4 linked regions of the Caenorhabditis elegans genome follow. The protein of the gene in region 1 purifies or fractionates together with the protein of each later gene. This does not show direct contact. Each region holds a gene or a part of one and is shown in the gene's direction. Other genes may lie near its edges.

What was found.
Region 2: the proteins of B0222.5 (region 1) and txdc-17 fractionate together in Caenorhabditis elegans (co-fractionation; one large-scale study listed by BioGRID). This does not show direct contact.
Region 3: the proteins of B0222.5 (region 1) and Y94H6A.2 fractionate together in Caenorhabditis elegans (co-fractionation; one large-scale study listed by BioGRID). This does not show direct contact.
Region 4: the proteins of B0222.5 (region 1) and F42A10.5 fractionate together in Caenorhabditis elegans (co-fractionation; one large-scale study listed by BioGRID). This does not show direct contact.

The regions. Positions count from the first base shown.
Region 1 is NC_003283.11:9,151,816-9,156,550, reverse strand, and holds B0222.5 (BPTI/Kunitz inhibitor domain-containing protein), read left to right. Parts: upstream 1-1,678; 5' UTR 1,679-1,681; coding exon 1,682-1,761; intron 1,762-2,001; coding exon 2,002-2,060; intron 2,061-2,104; coding exon 2,105-2,221; intron 2,222-2,279; coding exon 2,280-2,363; intron 2,364-2,405; coding exon 2,406-2,537; intron 2,538-2,582; coding exon 2,583-2,728; intron 2,729-2,777; coding exon 2,778-2,889; intron 2,890-3,111; coding exon 3,112-3,204; intron 3,205-3,491; coding exon 3,492-3,605; intron 3,606-3,648; coding exon 3,649-3,821; 3' UTR 3,822-4,230; downstream 4,231-4,735. Other genes in the region: B0222.15 (Activin_recp domain-containing protein), read left to right, coding at 1-16, 75-135, 796-936.
Region 2 is NC_003281.10:2,832,860-2,836,780, forward strand, and holds txdc-17 (Thioredoxin domain-containing protein 17), read left to right. Parts: upstream 1-1,803; coding exon 1,804-1,954; intron 1,955-2,182; coding exon 2,183-2,273; intron 2,274-3,102; coding exon 3,103-3,259; 3' UTR 3,260-3,402; downstream 3,403-3,921. Other genes in the region: Y71H2AM.1 (N(6)-L-threonylcarbamoyladenine synthase), read left to right, coding at 1-19; Y71H2AM.29 (G_PROTEIN_RECEP_F1_2 domain-containing protein), read left to right, coding at 290-310, 673-924; josd-1 (ubiquitinyl hydrolase 1), read left to right, coding at 3,780-3,921.
Region 3 is NC_003282.8:2,728,653-2,732,934, forward strand, and holds Y94H6A.2 (DUF4781 domain-containing protein), read left to right. Parts: upstream 1-1,639; coding exon 1,640-1,646; intron 1,647-1,701; coding exon 1,702-1,985; intron 1,986-2,101; coding exon 2,102-2,227; intron 2,228-2,283; coding exon 2,284-2,412; intron 2,413-2,459; coding exon 2,460-2,704; intron 2,705-3,249; coding exon 3,250-3,465; intron 3,466-3,517; coding exon 3,518-3,752; 3' UTR 3,753-3,770; downstream 3,771-4,282.
Region 4 is NC_003281.10:6,170,668-6,174,688, reverse strand, and holds F42A10.5 (Protein CDV3 homolog), read left to right. Parts: upstream 1-1,888; 5' UTR 1,889-1,917; coding exon 1,918-2,141; intron 2,142-2,191; coding exon 2,192-2,654; intron 2,655-2,755; coding exon 2,756-2,887; 3' UTR 2,888-3,467; downstream 3,468-4,021. Other genes in the region: abcf-3 (ABC transporter domain-containing protein), read right to left, coding at 1-105, 245-1,063; F42A10.9 (Gamma-glutamylcyclotransferase family protein), read right to left, coding at 3,564-3,606, 3,897-4,021.

The DNA.
Region 1 (4,735 bases):
CAGAATATTGCATAAAGTGGGTTGAAAGAAGAAAAAGAAAAGGCAGCAAGTTTATTGGAATTTTCATTTTGCAGAACGACAGAGCCAACTGGCGGAGCTACTTACGGATGTGATGACTTTACGCCGTTTTGCAAAGTGAGCGAACAAAACGAGTTTGAAATTGAAAGAACAAATGTGCAAAGTGAAAATCAGAAAAAAAATTGTCGAAAAGATTGAATGTGGCGCAGCCCTGGTGTAGATTTTCTGGAAATTAATTATAAAAACCATACTCATTGAAAGAGCAATGTCAACTTTAACAGAAAACAAATACTAGAAGCGGACAAAACCCATATGTAGCGGACAAAGCCCAATGCTACATACTGTAACTATGGAAAAATAACGGAATACACTTTCGCTTGTAGAAAATGAGTGGGGTCAATGCCGGTTTTATCTAAATGTATGTATTGTCAATTTGCCAAAAAATGACCAACAGTGAATAAAAATCACAATAAGGATTATTTAAACTTAAATTTAAAAACAGCGTATTTTTCTATCGTCTGACACTTAACAATGGTTCCGGTCTTTGAAAAAAATATTAGAAAAATACATTCCTATATGTTATACTTGAAGCTCGATTCCCGTATTGTTTCTCAAAAGTATAATTTATGATTCTTAGTGATAGAAATTCATTCTAGAACGTTTTGTTGTTTTCTTATTCTAAAAACTCGTGAGTAACGTTTTCTTCCAGTGATTTCCATAGAAACTTCTAGACTTTTCTATTCTTTTAATCTTTTCTCAATGTTTTCTTTTTTTCAGAAAGACGAATGCGTGGTCACTTCGAAACAAAGTAAAGTCTGTTGCTGTAATACTGATCTGTGTAACTCTTCTCCAATCACTTTCTGGCCTGTGTCTCTACTATTCTTCATTTTATTTTCTTATTTTATGTCTAGTTATTAGTTTGAACTTTATTTATTTAAAAAAATATTCCGACAAAAACGGGTTATTTTCTGATGATTCACTTCTTTTCCCGAATAAATGTTTTTTCAACTAAAGGTAATTCTGTTAGTCAAACCAAATTTATTGGTGTAAAAACGAATCCAAAGAGAATAAGAGAATGTACCAGTTTTATCGATTGATCATTGCATTCTAGTAGTTGACATAATATGATAAAAAGGAAGTAAACCTTTTTTTTCGTTTTTCGTCGAACAAAGATTCGTTCAGCAATTGATTCCTTTTCTTGTTCTCAACTAGCACTGATACTGCTTAGTTTTTTCTTTTGAAAAAAGATACTGTTTCAATTTTTAATCTTTCTTGATTTTTTGAATCTTCGGAGAGAAGAAAGAATATAACTTGGCTTTCATATCCTAAGAAAATTATTTTTTTCTCGAATTTTTCCTTTATTTGAAATATTTTTGTTAATGTTTCCAAATATTTGTGAACACTTTTTGATTCACCTATTTCATATGCACAGAATTTATGTACATAAAAATAACTTACATAAAATTTCATCGGCGAGTGATGAAAATAACCAAAAGCCAGTAATTCCCAAATACAATAGATCACTCAATGATCAACTCATAGCTCTTACTATTTTTTGTTCTCGAAAATCAAATAATGTTTGTTTCACTAACTAGTTATTATTTACCTTCATTCATTTCCTCGTTTCAATCATTCCTTCGAACGCAATTTTTTGATTTCCGGCATGCGAGCTTTCTGCATAATATTACTTGTTGGATTCACCCAAGTCAATGCTCTGTTTGGAGACAGATTATTACGAGCCAGGTTAGTTCTTTGGAACAAAAATTGTTAGGCACAATTTATGAAAAACCAATTTTGAAATAATTAGAACCCTAGTAAGTGAAAATATTTTTCAACAGTTCGGTGTCCACTATTAAAAAAATAACAGTTTTGTTTAAGAATTTTATATTAATAAAGTGTTGAAGCAACTGGTGGAAATTTTAATTTTTCAACATTACTTTGCTTATTTCAAATTTATTATAAAAATGTAATATTTTATTACAGAAACCCAAAAACTGGACCATGCACGTTGAATGATGATGGACTAAAATGCAATGAAAATGGTGATTCTAAACTTTAAATTATATTAATTTATTCATAATTTTAGGATACTATGAAACTGTACAATGTAACTCTGAATCATGTTATTGTGTTACTCCTCACACTGCACTTGTTGCATACGACACACGAACCAACAATCCGAAAACCGCGCCAAAATGTGGAAGTAAGTAGAGACCATTCAATTTCCTAAGTTTTCCCAAAAGTGACGTTTATCGTTTCAGCTTGCCTTGTTTACCTCCAAAAGCTGTTTGCCGACGGAGATCCTCCAGAAAATAGTTTCGTACCAAAATGTGACGTCGGAAAAGGTATGAAAAAATAATGCTAAAGATAAAATATAAGTATTTAAGGTGATTTTGAGCCTGTACAATGTGACAGTAAGAAGAACCAATGCTACTGCGTGGACACAAATACTGGAAGAGAAATACAAGGGACACGAAAACCATTGAGTAACACAACAAAGATGAATTGCATGCAAATTGGTAGTTCAAAATCATGAATAATTTAAAATAATTCGATAATTTCAGATTTCTCCATCGATTCGTCAGCATTCCCCGCTTTTGAAAAACCAGATCCTGCCAAACCGAAAAATGATCAACCGATTGGAAAACCATGGTGTGCAAGTAACAGAAATGCTGGACATACATGCAATCAAAATAAAACTTCGATAAGAGTAAGTTGATTTTAAACCTAATAAAAAATCGGGCAAATATTTTTTTTAGTACTGGTTTGACGTTGAAACCTTCCAATGTTTCCCATTCGAACACAAAGGCTGTGGTGGAAATCAGAACTCCTATAGAACAAGTAGTGAATGCTATTTTGACTGTGTCTTGCGTAAGTTATCCACGTATTGTTTTCATGAATATAAGTGACGTTCACCAAGGAAAATGATCACAAGTAGGCCTATGGTACCAAAAATTGTAAAATGTTTCATACATTTTTGACCCAAAAGTTTGAAAACTCTGAGCCCCTCATTGACGTATTCAATTTTTAACTCAAAAATTCAATTTTTAACTCAAAAATCAAATACGATAATTGAATGCAGTTTTATTTCAGAAGACTACTTCAGTTGTGCAATGCAATCACAACCAGCTAGAAAGTCGAATGGACAATGGTATTCTTGCCCAGAAGGCCCAGATGGTCCACCAGGTATGTTTTGAGATTGATGGTTTTTTAATAAAACTTTCGAACTTTCTACTGCATAAATAATATTTGAAAATTAGCTACAAATTTTTGTGGTGAAAAACGAAACTTACAATTCCGGTTTATAAAATGTTATTTTTTATTTCATTTAAAGGATCCTGTTTTTCGGATCTGAGCTGTTTAAACGTTAGAAATACAATGTTTTAAAAACGAGTATTAGTTAGTTTAAAACTTTATTAAAGTAATAATGAACATTAAAAAAACTAACTGAAATATTGCTTCATATTTTTCAGGCTTCAAGACTACTACAACTCCAGGCCCAAAACTAACCTCTGATGGTTGTCCAAAGGGATATATTTGTTCTATGGGAGCATTCTTTGGTATTTGCTGCGAGGAGAACTTGACAAGTAAGTAATCATATTAGCGACAACCAAAACACAAAGTTTCCAGATCGCTACCAAGCAGCATTCAAACCATTATGCAAAAACAAGAAAGAAGCTTTGCAAACGAAACAGGACGATTGGTCGAGTGCAATGCTCGGAAAATCATGTTCCGATAGATTCTGTCCAAGCAGTCATACTTGTGAACATAACGAGTTTTTTGCATATTGTTGTCCGCGTTAATATGTGTGTTTTGACGTTTGTTTTCTTGCCCATTCGAACCGCCCTTCAATTCACATTCTAATTCAGGTTGTAATAAATAAGAAAAAGTATTTGTAGTTCTTTTGTTTTTCACAATGATATGTAATGTATATTAAACGACCTTTCATCTCTTCTGTCCTTTTCTTCTGTGTTGGTTTTCCACCCAGACAAATTGCCGGCCCCCTACTTTAAACGTGTCTTCTCATAGCATTGATTATTGATGCCTATGTGATATCAATATCTTTTATATTCATTTTCCCTCCTAAAAGAAATATGTTCAGAAAACTGCACCGAAACAAAGTCTTCGACCATACTAGATACTTGTTGATTTCTGATAGTGTCCTGTTCACCCCATAAAAATGTGTTAAATGCAGCAAGCAACAAAGTATATTTGTGATTGAAATTTGATGCGAATAGAATTTAAAAATAGAGTGATCACAGTTCTAGCAGAAAACGAATTTTCACAAATGAATCGGAATGATGACTTGGTCTATTTGAATTCGCTCAATGTCTCCGCAGACATGATGTGTACCCAAAAATGACTTGATTGATGATTTCACAAATGTTCCAGTTTAGTTTCGTGCTTTATGTGGAATATGCTACAAAACGCTAAAATACGATAATCGAAGGCTTCAAAACTAAACTGCGGTGGACTTTTCTAGCTCGAAATATGCAACTGAAACAGTTGTTGGGCTATTCTTTGCTCAAGAAAAAATTATTACGGCACAACAACTGTAATTTTTTTTTCTAGAAAAAAATTCATTTGAAAAATGGACGCTGATGAAAAAGTTATTAAATGAGCCGCGTAACTACATTGAAAAAATGTTAAACGTATTTTCAGAAATTGTTTTGTTAAATTGTAGAAAGAAGAATAATCAAAAATAAAACTCATAGTC
Region 2 (3,921 bases), on another chromosome or scaffold:
CGTTGAATGGAGAGATTAATCGGTGCCTACCTACCTGCCTGCCTACAGGCGTAGGCAGGCATTTCTTCTGCTTCACGTTGTTTTTTTTTTCGTTAATTTTATTGATTTTTCTCCACTTTTCTTGTTGTTGTTGTTGTGCCGCGTGGCTGTTCTCATTTCTTTAAAATTTTACGTTTTTTTTTTCTCGAAATTTTGAAAATAGTTATCCCCCGTCCAATTTTCAATCATTTCTTTATTATTTTCTCCTGTTCTTCACACGTTTTTTGCACAAAAAGGAACGGGAAACAAAATGGTCGACGGATGTGCTGAGGTATGGCTTTTTTTTTACCGAAACCAACCTACCAGGCCCTAACTATCTGCCTGCAGGTACGCCGAACCAATAGGCGTTGGTCGCCTTGCAGGTGGGCAAATGTGATGTGATTGTTTTTTTTTAAATGTGATTTTATACCAACTTTCTAGTAGGCACGCTTGTAGGCGCCAGGTAGGCAACGATTTTTTCGTTTTTTTTTCCAAGTAAAAGTTAAGAAATACTAATTGATTTAATGGTAGGCACGCGAGTAGGCAGCCATTTTTCGCCAATTTTCCGTTTTTTTTTCGTATTTTCAAAAGCAAAAGGTTTAGGCATAAGGCAGGCGTAGGTAAAAACCCCCCGAAACCTCTTTTTTTTTGCAGAAATTCGAGCAAATGAGTTCATGGATTGTGCTGATTTCAATTGTTCCAATAACATTCAGCTTTATAACTGTCATTCTTTTGTGCTCATCTCTTCTAAAAGTGAAGAAAATGCGTGGAATTTGTGATGGAATCCATTCGAATGCTCATTGGTTGTCTAGAACTGCTGTTCGTGTTGGAATTGGAGCAACTGCCCGTGTTACAATCAATGAATATGCATCGACGAAGCCTGAGCTCAAGAGATTGCTTAAATAGATTACCTTGTTTTGAATGGAATAAATTATTGGGGATTTTTGAATTTTTTTATTAATTTTTTTTGTTGCTTTTTATCGGTTTTTGAAATTCCGAAGATTTTATTTACTTTATTATTTTTTTCTCTAAAATTTTCTAGAAAAAAAATTGAAATTTGATTTTTTAATTTTTTTTCGAAAATATGAATTTTGCCGCAAATTAATTCTAAATTTCGCAAAATTTTTCAGTGTTTCTAGAAATTTCTTATCGAAAAATTGAGAAAAAAAAACTATAAACTATTGAAAATATTTATTACGGGAACTCAAAATTTTGAGAATGCGTATTTCACAACATATTTGACGCGCAAAATATAACTATATCTCGTAGCGAAAACTACAGTAATCCTTTAAATGACTACTGTAGCTCGGTTGTGTCAATTTACGGGAACTCGATAAATAAATGATTCAACTCATTTAACAGAATCGAGATCCCGTAAATCGACACAACCGCGCGCTACAGTAGTCATTTAAAGGATTACTGTAGTTTTCGCTACGAGATATTTTGCGCGTCAAATATGTTGTGAAATACGCATTCTCAAAATTTTGAGTTCCCGTAATAAATATTTTCAATATTTTATAGTTTTTTTTTCTCAATTTTTCGATAAGAAATTCCTAAAAACACTGAAAATTTTGGGAAAATTAAAATTTTTCTTTCCAATTTTCAGAAAAAAATTTTAAAATTTGAATTTTGGAATATGGCTCAAAAATTTTGTGCAAAAGTGCAGAAAAAAAAATAAAATCCTATCATTTTTCGGGTTTTTTAAAGGATTTTCATGTCTCTTCCGAATATTTTTTTGTTGAAAATTTGTGGTAAATTTGAAAATTTCATGAATTTTTTCTCCAGATGACCGGACTGAAACACTACACTGCTCAGGGATACGAAGCATTTCAGGAGACACTGAAATCGATTGGAAAAGGAAAACGAGTCGTCGCTCTGTTCACTGGATCCAAAATTCTGACAACCGGAGAGTCTTGGTGCCCGGATTGTGTTGTTGGTACGAGATTTTGATGGCCTACCTACCTGCCTACCTACCCGCCTAGCTCATCCCCTGCGTACCTATCTGCTAACAGCCTCTGCCGCTTCTGTGCTTACCTACTCACCTATCTACAGTCTACATGCCTACCTACGGTGTGCCTGCCTTTGCCTACCGCATACCTATGCCTACCTACTGCTCACCTCACGCCTGCCTATAAATTAAAAAAATAATATATTTGAATTTCAGCTGAGCCAGTTGTCGAAGAAGTGATCAAGGACGCCGCCGTCGCCGGACTCGATGTCCATTTTGTCACTGTTTTCGTCGGAAATCGTGAAGTGTTCGTGGATTTTTGTAAAAAAAAATCGATAAAATTACGAAAAATCAATATTTTTTGGAAAAAATCAATAAAATTACGAAAAATCAATAAAATTATTAAAAAATCAAAAAATTATAAAAAATCAATAAAATTATAAAAATCAAATTTTTTTTGGAAAAAGTCGATAACATTACGAAAAATCAATTTTTTGAAAAAAAAAATCAATAAAAATATAAAAAATCAATAAAATTATAAAAAATCAATAAAATTATAAAAAATCAATGAAATTATAAAAAATCAATGAAATTATAAAAAATCAATTATTTTTAAATCAATAAAATTACGACAAATCATTTTTTTTTTTGGAAAAATTCATTTTTTTATAATTTTATTGATTTTTTCCAAAAAAAATCAATTTTTTTTAGAAAAAATCAATAAAATTATAAAAAATAAATTTTTTTAAAGAAAAAATCAATAAAATTATAAAAAATCAATTGTTTTTTAAAGAAACATCAATAAAATTATTTAAAAAAACCAATTTTTTAAAGAAAAAATCAATAAAATCATAAAAAAAATCAATTTTTTCTGGAAAAAATCAATAAAATTATAAAAAATCAATGAAATTATAAAAAATCAATTTTTTTTAAAAGAAAAAATCAATAAAATTATGAAAAATCTATAAAATTACGAAAAATCTATAAAATTATAAAAAATCAATTTTTTTGAAAAAAAAATCAATGAAATTACGAAATACTGTGTCAAAATTTTGAAAAATTCTCAAAGAAAAAATTTTCGGAAAAAATTATTTTGAAAAAAATTGCAAAAAATCTCTAAATTTCCAAATTTTCAGATGGCGTGACCCAGCTGTCGGATTCCGTACTGATCCAACACTCAAATTGACATGTATTCCGACACTTTTGGAAGTTGGAAACAAGGCAAAACGTCTTTTGGAGAGACAAATTGCCAATAAGCATCTCGTCAAGGACTTTTTCACTGAGGAAGACTAAATTATCGATTTTTTGGCTATTTATTGTGCTGAAAATTCCGCCATTTTGTTGTGATATTTAGACGATTTTTTGAATTGGGGTTATGGTTTTTGTTATTTAAAAAAAAAATTTTGTTCAGTTTATATAAAGGATTTGGTGATGGATTTTTTGATTTTTTGATTTTTTTTCAAAAAGAGGATGTGCCCTATTTTATGCTTAATTTTTTTTAATTGATTTTTGATTTTTTTTTGAATTAAAAAAAAGGAAAAATCGATATTTTGAATAAATTTTCTGAAAAATCAATACTAAATTCGAATTTCGATTTTCAAATAAAATTCGATTTTGTTTCGCACAAAAGTTAATAATTTAGTCATAGAAAATCGATAATTTTCATGAAATTTTTGAATAAAAATCAATATTTTATCGATTTTTTTCCAGAAGAAAATCGATAAACTGCAAAAAAAATATTTACGATTTCGACGACATTTTAAAAATAGAAAAAATTTCAGCATCCAATACCCCAATTAGATTTATATTCCAGATGACGTCATCACCAGAAATTTATCACGAAAAGCAACGTCTTCAATACTGCCTTATCCATACGGTTAACAATATTCTACAAAAATCCGAATTTGATCCGACAAAAATGGACGAAATTTGCTATGCGTTTAATGAGAGTAAAT
Region 3 (4,282 bases), on another chromosome or scaffold:
TCCTGCATACTGCTGCCGCCGCTCACATCTATCTTTCTGGCGACTGTGTCATTCAAGGCTTCTATGTCATTCAAACTACTGCCACAGTCATACCATGACAGAACTTTTTTGGATTTTTGTTTTCAAAGAATCTCTAGACCAAGAGCATTCTTTGAACTATAAAAACTTGTAAGATACTTGATGGGTTCCTCGAAAAAAAAAAAGTAAAAATCCCGCAGAATGCCGACTTGCGTGCCATCAAGAACGTGATCTCAAAAGTTCGGAAAGCCTGCAGCGATGCGGTTAGGGAAATTTTAAAAATTTTAAACGTTAATCTGGTCAGTATTTCATGGAGATCAAAATTTATACAAATTGATGTAATAACTCTCGCCACACGTGAAGTTACAGAGCTGCAAACGTGTTACCATACTTATGGCGCAGAAGAAAAATCAATCAACAATAACTTTATTTAGGATACACCTGCAAATATCCAAAACGATTTACGATCATAGTTTTTTCCCAAAAAAGTCTTTTCGAAAAATCCCTCAATCAAGGCGCCGGGTCTTTTTGAATACTCATTTAAGTACCAGTTCACCGGTCCGAAAAAGATAGTAGTGTTGCGCCGAATGATCAACACAAGTCCACATTCATCGCCGAACCGTTCGCAAAGCTTTTCCGCATAATCTCCTGGAGATTCTTCGAAGGATGCTCGATGCAACACCTCCACAGTCGTAGTAAGTACAGTGTACCGCATTTTCTATATTAGTCGCCACTACCATACTTTTATAATGTGTTTAACTGAAGACAATTAATGTTAATGTTAATGCAATATGAACTAATACGGAAAATACGGTATTTATTTAAAGAAAACACCATTAATTAATTTAAATCAATATTCAGCATTCATGACCTTCGTGAGTACGTGCGTGGTCTTCGCGAAACGTTCGGCGCCGAATGTGGCTTTGTGGGGATTATTCGAAAACATAGAAACATTCGCAAACGTTGGGTAAACTGTGACCCAGACGATTATCCCAGAGGACCCGGTGACTGTATTGAGAGATGTTTCAAGGGCAATGGTTCTGACTTTTTTTTTGGTAGTGGCGACTTTTTTCAGTACTGGTACGGTCAAAAGTTTGAGATAATTGCTGGTGTTCGATGAATATTTGTAGTTTTTATTCAAAACCGTTCCATTGTAATAAAAACTACGACATTTTATCTTTTTGCGATTTCTTTTTTTTTAAATAAATATTTTATCTAATACCTTCAAGGAAAACTAATGTATCTTTTACATGTTTTTTGTGAATAAATCTTTTCTTTCTTTTAAAATCTTTTAAAAAAATCAGAATTTATAGTTTAGTTCTTTAGTTCGGAACTCACTTACTATGCCAAAAATCGTGTTCCCTAAATGAGTCACTTGGTACTATTGACATATTTGAGTATTTTCAACACATAATTTTCTTTGACATTTTTGCCCTTTCCGAATTTTTATGAGGAAGACGCTAGCATTCCTGATAAAGAAAATGTCAGTATTCCTCATACTTAGTTCCACAAGAAAAATGGCATGCGTGTAATGTGTAGCACTAGAGTATAAAACAAGAACAGAGAAAAGAAAGATAAGACATCATTGCTTTTCTATTTGGAGACAGTTATATATTTCAAGATGGCTGGTAAGATTCTATTTTTAAAATAATATGAAATTGAATCGAATTCTCAATTTTCCAGCTGTAAACTACACGACGGGATTTATTTCGGTGGTCACTGGCTGCCTAGGAGTACATGGGGCTTATGCGTCCGCCGCAGTGGTTCCGCATTTAACTGCGATTTGTGCATGCGGTGCTATAGTTAGTGCATATGTTACGATGGCTGCATACAAAGATGACAAATCAACGGAGCTGATACTCAGCGAGCTCAAAACGCTCGACAAGAAGATTGGGGAACTGTCACATAAGATGGACGCGTTGTTCGGTGATCTTAAGTCATTTATAACAACGTCTCACTTTTACATGGTATGTTCGGAATAGATATTGGTTCAAAGTGTGGTTACGAAGCCTTCTGCGCAGGAAAAAAGTTAATCACGACCCTTTTTAACCTTCACCCTTTACCCTTACTCAAAATTTTGCAGAATGAGGTCGCTACAATCAAAACGTTGATGAAATACATGCAGGATACGATGAACAATCCTTGTAAATACACAAAAGAGCTATTTCGTGGCGCTGTGACGGATAATAAACCTTTGTGGATTGCAGAGGTAGGACTTATTAAGGAATCACAAGATTTCAATGTTAGACAGCTTCAAATTTCCAGCAAATGATTATAAAACTCGACCAGGAGGAAACGAATCCTCTCAAAATGGCAATGAACTGTGATCCTCTTCGACCAACGGAAACTTTTGAAAAATGGAGAAAAATAATCGACGGAGTGCTTGCCCAATGTGTAGGTACTCACTACATCCCTCACTAAATAAAGTGTATCATATTCAGCTGATTTTGGAGACGTACCAGAATGGAATGTTTTGCGATAAGAACATGATTGGACCGAGTCGTTTAAAGAAGCAAACCGAAGAATTACAACTGAAAATGAATAGATGGGCTGAAGAATACCGTCAAGATCACTCGTACTGGGACGATGGAGTCTTAAGTTTAATCCATAATGTGCAAGACAATAATGAGGGAAGTGAAAATATACGAAATATTTTGACTAAAGAATTGGGCAAGATCATGACAAAGTGAGTATTTTTGTAAATTGACAAGGGACATAAAAGGGTAATTGTGTATTATAACTTTACTTTTTTCAAATTAAATTATGACCGGGGTAGCAATTATTTTATCTGTTAAGTTATTTAAAACGTGAATAGTATTTCCATTATTAGGCTTACAAAGGAAGTATTCCAATTTAACCCCGGTCAATTTAGGCACTTTGAACTGGAAAGAAGTCGCTCTGAAAAATTTTCAATGCATTTTTCACGATTTTCGCAGCCCGTAAAATTCCTCCAAATGTTGATTTTTGCAGATTTCTGATGATTTCTAGGCTTTTGAGGGCCAACCAATTTTTTTCTGGAATTTTTTTAATTTGTGAAAAAATATAAAAGATTTTGGTCCCGAAAGACCAAAAAAGCCAAAAAATCTGCGTTTTCCGAAAATTTATTCAAAAAAAGACAGCCCTGCTGTGAACGTCAGTAATTTTTCTCACATCCACTTACAAATGTAACCATTTTTTGCACACCATATCGCAAACAGTCAGATTTCAAATTGATTTTCCAAAATATTTCAGCCACAAATTTTACGTGATCGTCTACGATTTCTGTGACGGTTCATCTGAGGAGTACCAATTCACTTCATACAGCTATTTCAAACGCAATTTTAAATCTTCTTTCAATCGAAACGGGTGCAATGCTTTTGTTTTACGAAGCCTCAGAACCCAAGATTGCAAAAGGCACGAGGAGAACCTTCAAAGAAAGCTGCAAGCTGCCCTTCCAATGGAATACGAGTTTGTATTTTGCGGCTTAATGGCATAACATTTGATCCAAACATTTTTTCAGCTACAGATTCAAATTGATTGATTATGCGGAAAAGCTTTGCAAACGGTTCGGCGATGAATGTGGACTTGTGTTGATCATTCGGCGCAACACTACTATCTTTTTCGGACCGGTGAACTGGTACTTAAATGAGTATTCAAAAAGACCCGGCGCCTTGATTGAGGGATTTTTCGAAAAGACTTTTTTGGGAAAAAACTATGATCGTAAATCGTTTTGGATATTTGCAGGTGTATCCTAAATAAAGTTATTGTTGATTGATTTTTCTTCTGCGCCATAAGTATGGTAACACGTTTGCAGCTCTGTAACTTCACGTGTGGCGAGAGTTATTACATCAATTTGTATAAATTTTGATCTCCATGAAATACTGACCAGATTAACGTTTAAAATTTTTAAAATTTCCCTAACCGCATCGCTGCAGGCTTTCCGAACTTTTGAGATCACGTTCTTGATGGCACGCAAGTCGGCATTCTGCGGGATTTTTACTTTTTTTTTTTCGAGGAACCCATCAAGTATCTTACAAGTTTTTATAGTTCAAAGAATGCTCTTGGTCTAGAGATTCTTTGAAAACAAAAATCCAAAAAAGTTCTGTCATGGTATGACTGTGGCAGTAGTTTGAATGACATAGAAGCCTTGAATGACACAGTCGCCAGAAAGATAGATGTGAGCGGCGGCAGCAGTATGCAGGAAAACTCATTTTAGTATTTTTCGGGGAACGTTTTGATCTGACTTTCAAGAATTTTAATAGAAGATTAAGCTCGGATGATTTTG
Region 4 (4,021 bases), on another chromosome or scaffold:
AGCTTTGTCAAGTTGGAGAGCTTCCATTTCGATGTAAAGTTTTGAAAGCTCGTCATTCCATTTGGTTTTCTCGGCGTCATTGATATTGTCCTTGTTTATACGACTCTGAAATTTTAATTTTGAAAAATGAATTAATTTTTGTTCAAATTAAAAATATATATTTCAAGAATGGAATGAATTCAAATCAGACTTTTTTGTCATATTATTCTCATTGAATATTAATATCATTTTCTGAATATCTCACTTGCAGCGTCTTTTCCCTATCAAGAAGTGTTTGTCTCTTCGTATCTGACATCAAAACAGCATCCAAAACGAGTGTATCATCTCCTTCCACTTCCTGTTCCACAGACAGCATTGAAATACCTGCGGGGATCTTCAACTGTTGGCTTGAAATCATTTTAAGCAGCGTCGTTTTTCCGATTCCGTTTCTTCCAACCAATCCATATCGTCTTCCAAATGCCATTGTGACATCGGCACATGAGAGAAGTTGTTTCGTACCGATAGAAATATCCACACTTTCCAGTTTGATATCCTTTGAGTTGGCTCCACGGGCACCCGAGTCACGAATTGGAGCTTGGGAAGCCGTTGCTGATGGCTCATTCTTCTTCTTCTTCCGTTCAACAGGTGCATCTGCACGAGCTTCTGCTTTCGCTGCAGCACGATCTTCGGCCTTAGCAAGTTTCTTCTTATCAACGGTAGTTGGAGTATCTCTTGTTTGTACTTTCCAGATGCTTTGAAGAGCTTCAAAGTTTTGATTTTCAGCAGCCATGTCAACAGTTTGCTCGAGACGTTTCGTAGTTGCTTCCTGTTGTTTGATAGCCTTTGGAAGGTTGTCTCCGTGAAGTAGTTTCAGAAGTTGTTGACAAGCATTCTTAGCTCCAACCTCGCAAAGATTTTCCACGGAAGCTTGAAGATGTTCACCAACGGCATCCATAACTTCATCTAAAGATGTGATCTCATCGGAATTCTCTTTGAGAATTGCAGAGACATAGTCTTTGATCTCAATTGGAAGTGTGGGAAAAGTGGCCGTGAGATAGCCAGGAATTGCTTCAACATTTGCCATTATTTAATTGTTCAAGAAGAACTCGTAACCTGGAAAAAATTCATAACACACTCGTAAATAAGTTGCGTTTCTCGTATCATACCCAGCCAATTGAAAAAGTGAAAGACGATGAAAACCGGAATGAGACTTGGAATCAGAAGAAGATAATACGTTTGATCGGAGATGAAAGAAGCTGTTAGCTCGTCCACCAAGTGAGATTCCTCTAGCATACACTACGAGTCCTAAAAAAGTAAGGTTTTATTTATTGGGTGGTGGAAACTGTATCATTATCCAAATGACTAAAATATTAATTTAATAAATACATGTAAACTGCTATAAACTCGACCAAAAGCAATTTATTCATCCGAAAATACTGTAAATGTGAGAGAAAACTGAATAAAACGAGATATGCGTCAACAAAATCGCCATACACGCCAGTAATCGTCCTGGCGCGTTTGCAGTCTCTAACTTTTTTTTGTTGCGAAACTGAATTTTTAGCTGGATTTCTCTTCAACTTACACGTTTTGTTCATTTTTTGTTAGTTATATTTAGAAGCTCCAAAAGCCTAAACTATTCCAATTAGCAAATTCATTATTGTCAAGACAGCCTTCTGCCAAATAACTGCAATGAATCTCTGATACGCGCGTGACGTGTTGCGTCGCGTTTTCTTCTCATTTTCAGTAAATTCCAGCTAGTTTGCCACTTCCTATCATTTGTTCTTTGTGCACAGTAACTTTACATGTCATATTCGTTATTTGAACTTCACTATATTAGAAAACTGTGCTATTGTCGTTTCATTTTAGGCCGTTCAAAATAATTTTACTCTCTAAATGTTCCACGTTTCAGTTCCGACTCGCTTTTCACAACAACACAAAATGAGTGACGATTTGAGCGCTTTCTTTGCTAAAAAGAAAGACAAGAAAAAGAAGTCCGCCGTTAAAATCGAAGAAGTCGGTCAAGCACTCGAACGAAGAGCCAAGCGTCAAGAGGAGTATGAGCAAGAGTCGGAGGATGTTTCTGAAAAGCGGGTAGAAGAGGAGAAGGCCGTGAATCCTAACGAAGAAAGTGAATGGATTGAATACGGAGAAAGTCAAGGAAGGTTAGTAGATTATTCGCTCCGATTTCATTTAAATATCTCATTTATTGCAGACTAGATGGTCTGAAAATCAAAGATATGGGTCTTGAAAGTGAACAAGATCAAGTAAATAACGAAGAACCAGAAGATCGCGAGGTTCATGAGACAAAGACTTGGGGACAAGTTAGCAGTGAAAAGAAAGCGACGGAGGAGCCGGAACAAGCTGTGACGATCAGTGACAAAGCAATGGCTGCCGCTTACAAGCCACCTGCAATGAGAAGACCAGGAGCTCCGTACAGACCAAGAGCTGCTGCTGCAAATCTGGATATGGGTAGTGACGCTGCCTTCCCATCATTAGCGGATGCAAGCAAAATTGAGAAGAATAAGAAAGAGGAGAGCAAATCACCAGGAGGTTGGGTAAAAGCTGGATCCGGTGGAGCTTGGCCAGGAAGTTCGGGCCCATCTTCAAGTGGGTCTTCAAGATCGTATCCGACAACTGCTGGAAGTGGACGTGATAGTGCTCTTGCAGCTCTCAAGGTATGTGTCAAGGAAAAATAATTACTCTAAGTTTTCAAGGTTTTAAAACTATCAAAAATCATTTTTATTATTCTTGAAAATGTCTAAATTCAACGTTTCAGATGATGAGCGCCGCCAATCCAGCTCCAGCGCGTAACGAGCCAGCACCAGCCCCTGCAGCTGCTGCTCCAGCATCTTCGGGAGCTGCCAAGGCTGGATCGTACGTTCCTCCACATTTGAGGAAAAATCAATAATAGGCCCAACTATTTTCTTATTCTTCTGTTTTCTGTGTTCCCATTTCCTTATTCATTGTTTTTCTTTATTCTATAATATCCTTTTTTTGGTTAGTATTCTCATAATTTAGTACATTATTAATTTCGTCCCTATCAACTTGTTATGTCCCAAATTTCTCTTATCATTTCGTGCTTAAACGCACTTCACTCTTTATTGTTGCTCTACCAATTCTTGAACGACCCACAATACCCCGTGAAATTTATAGGGTAGTTGACAGCGGACGGTGTGGTTTGAGAATTCACGTGAATCGAATTTTGGTATCTTTTTTCGAAATCTTATGCATTTCGAAGGTCGTCTCCTATTTTCGGTGTCACGCCAAAAATCTCAAATCCGCCTGTTTCGCGTGTCGTCGGTTACGGTTTCAACGAAAGAAAGTTTCAAAATGTTTTCCCCATGAGCACTTTGCTCTTTTTCTACTTGTGCTATTTATACAAGTGCTCTATCATATTCTCTTTGCCCAATTCCCTTTCGGATTCAATCATGGTGTCTTTTTCTTTCGTTTCCCTTTTTTCTTTTTCATATAAACGTTTATACATTCCCAATGTGCTCGTCTTTGTTATCTTGCATGTGTGTTTTCAATCCCAGATTATTATTCATTTATTCAAATTATAACGATGAGGAACTGTTACTCGGTGATCACATTGCTTCGTACATTTCATTCTCGTTGGTTAGGTTCTCGCTGCAAAAAAAATTAAATGTAGGTTCATTGAATAGTTATTTGTAAATTTCCCCACTTTTCAAATCGAACTCGGCTTTTCTCTGAGCCAACTCGATGTAGATCAGGTTCTCAGCGCCCAAAATATCATGATAGAGGTTCGAACTGCCGTCGAGATCGTCAAGCATCTCTTTTGCGCGCACGTATCTGAAAATTCCAGTCGTGCGCGTAATTTTTCAATAAATCACTGGAATTTGTTTTTCAAAGAAATATTTAATTTAACTCTAGTTTTAAAAGGCACATTTTTCTCTTACCTGTCCACATAAGGTCTACCATGAGCTCCGAGGCTTGAGTAGTTGGTCATCATTTCGGATGACGTGGAAAGTAGATCTGGGCGCCAGCTTTTCAGCAGATAGATAAACGCAGTCTCAGTAGTGCC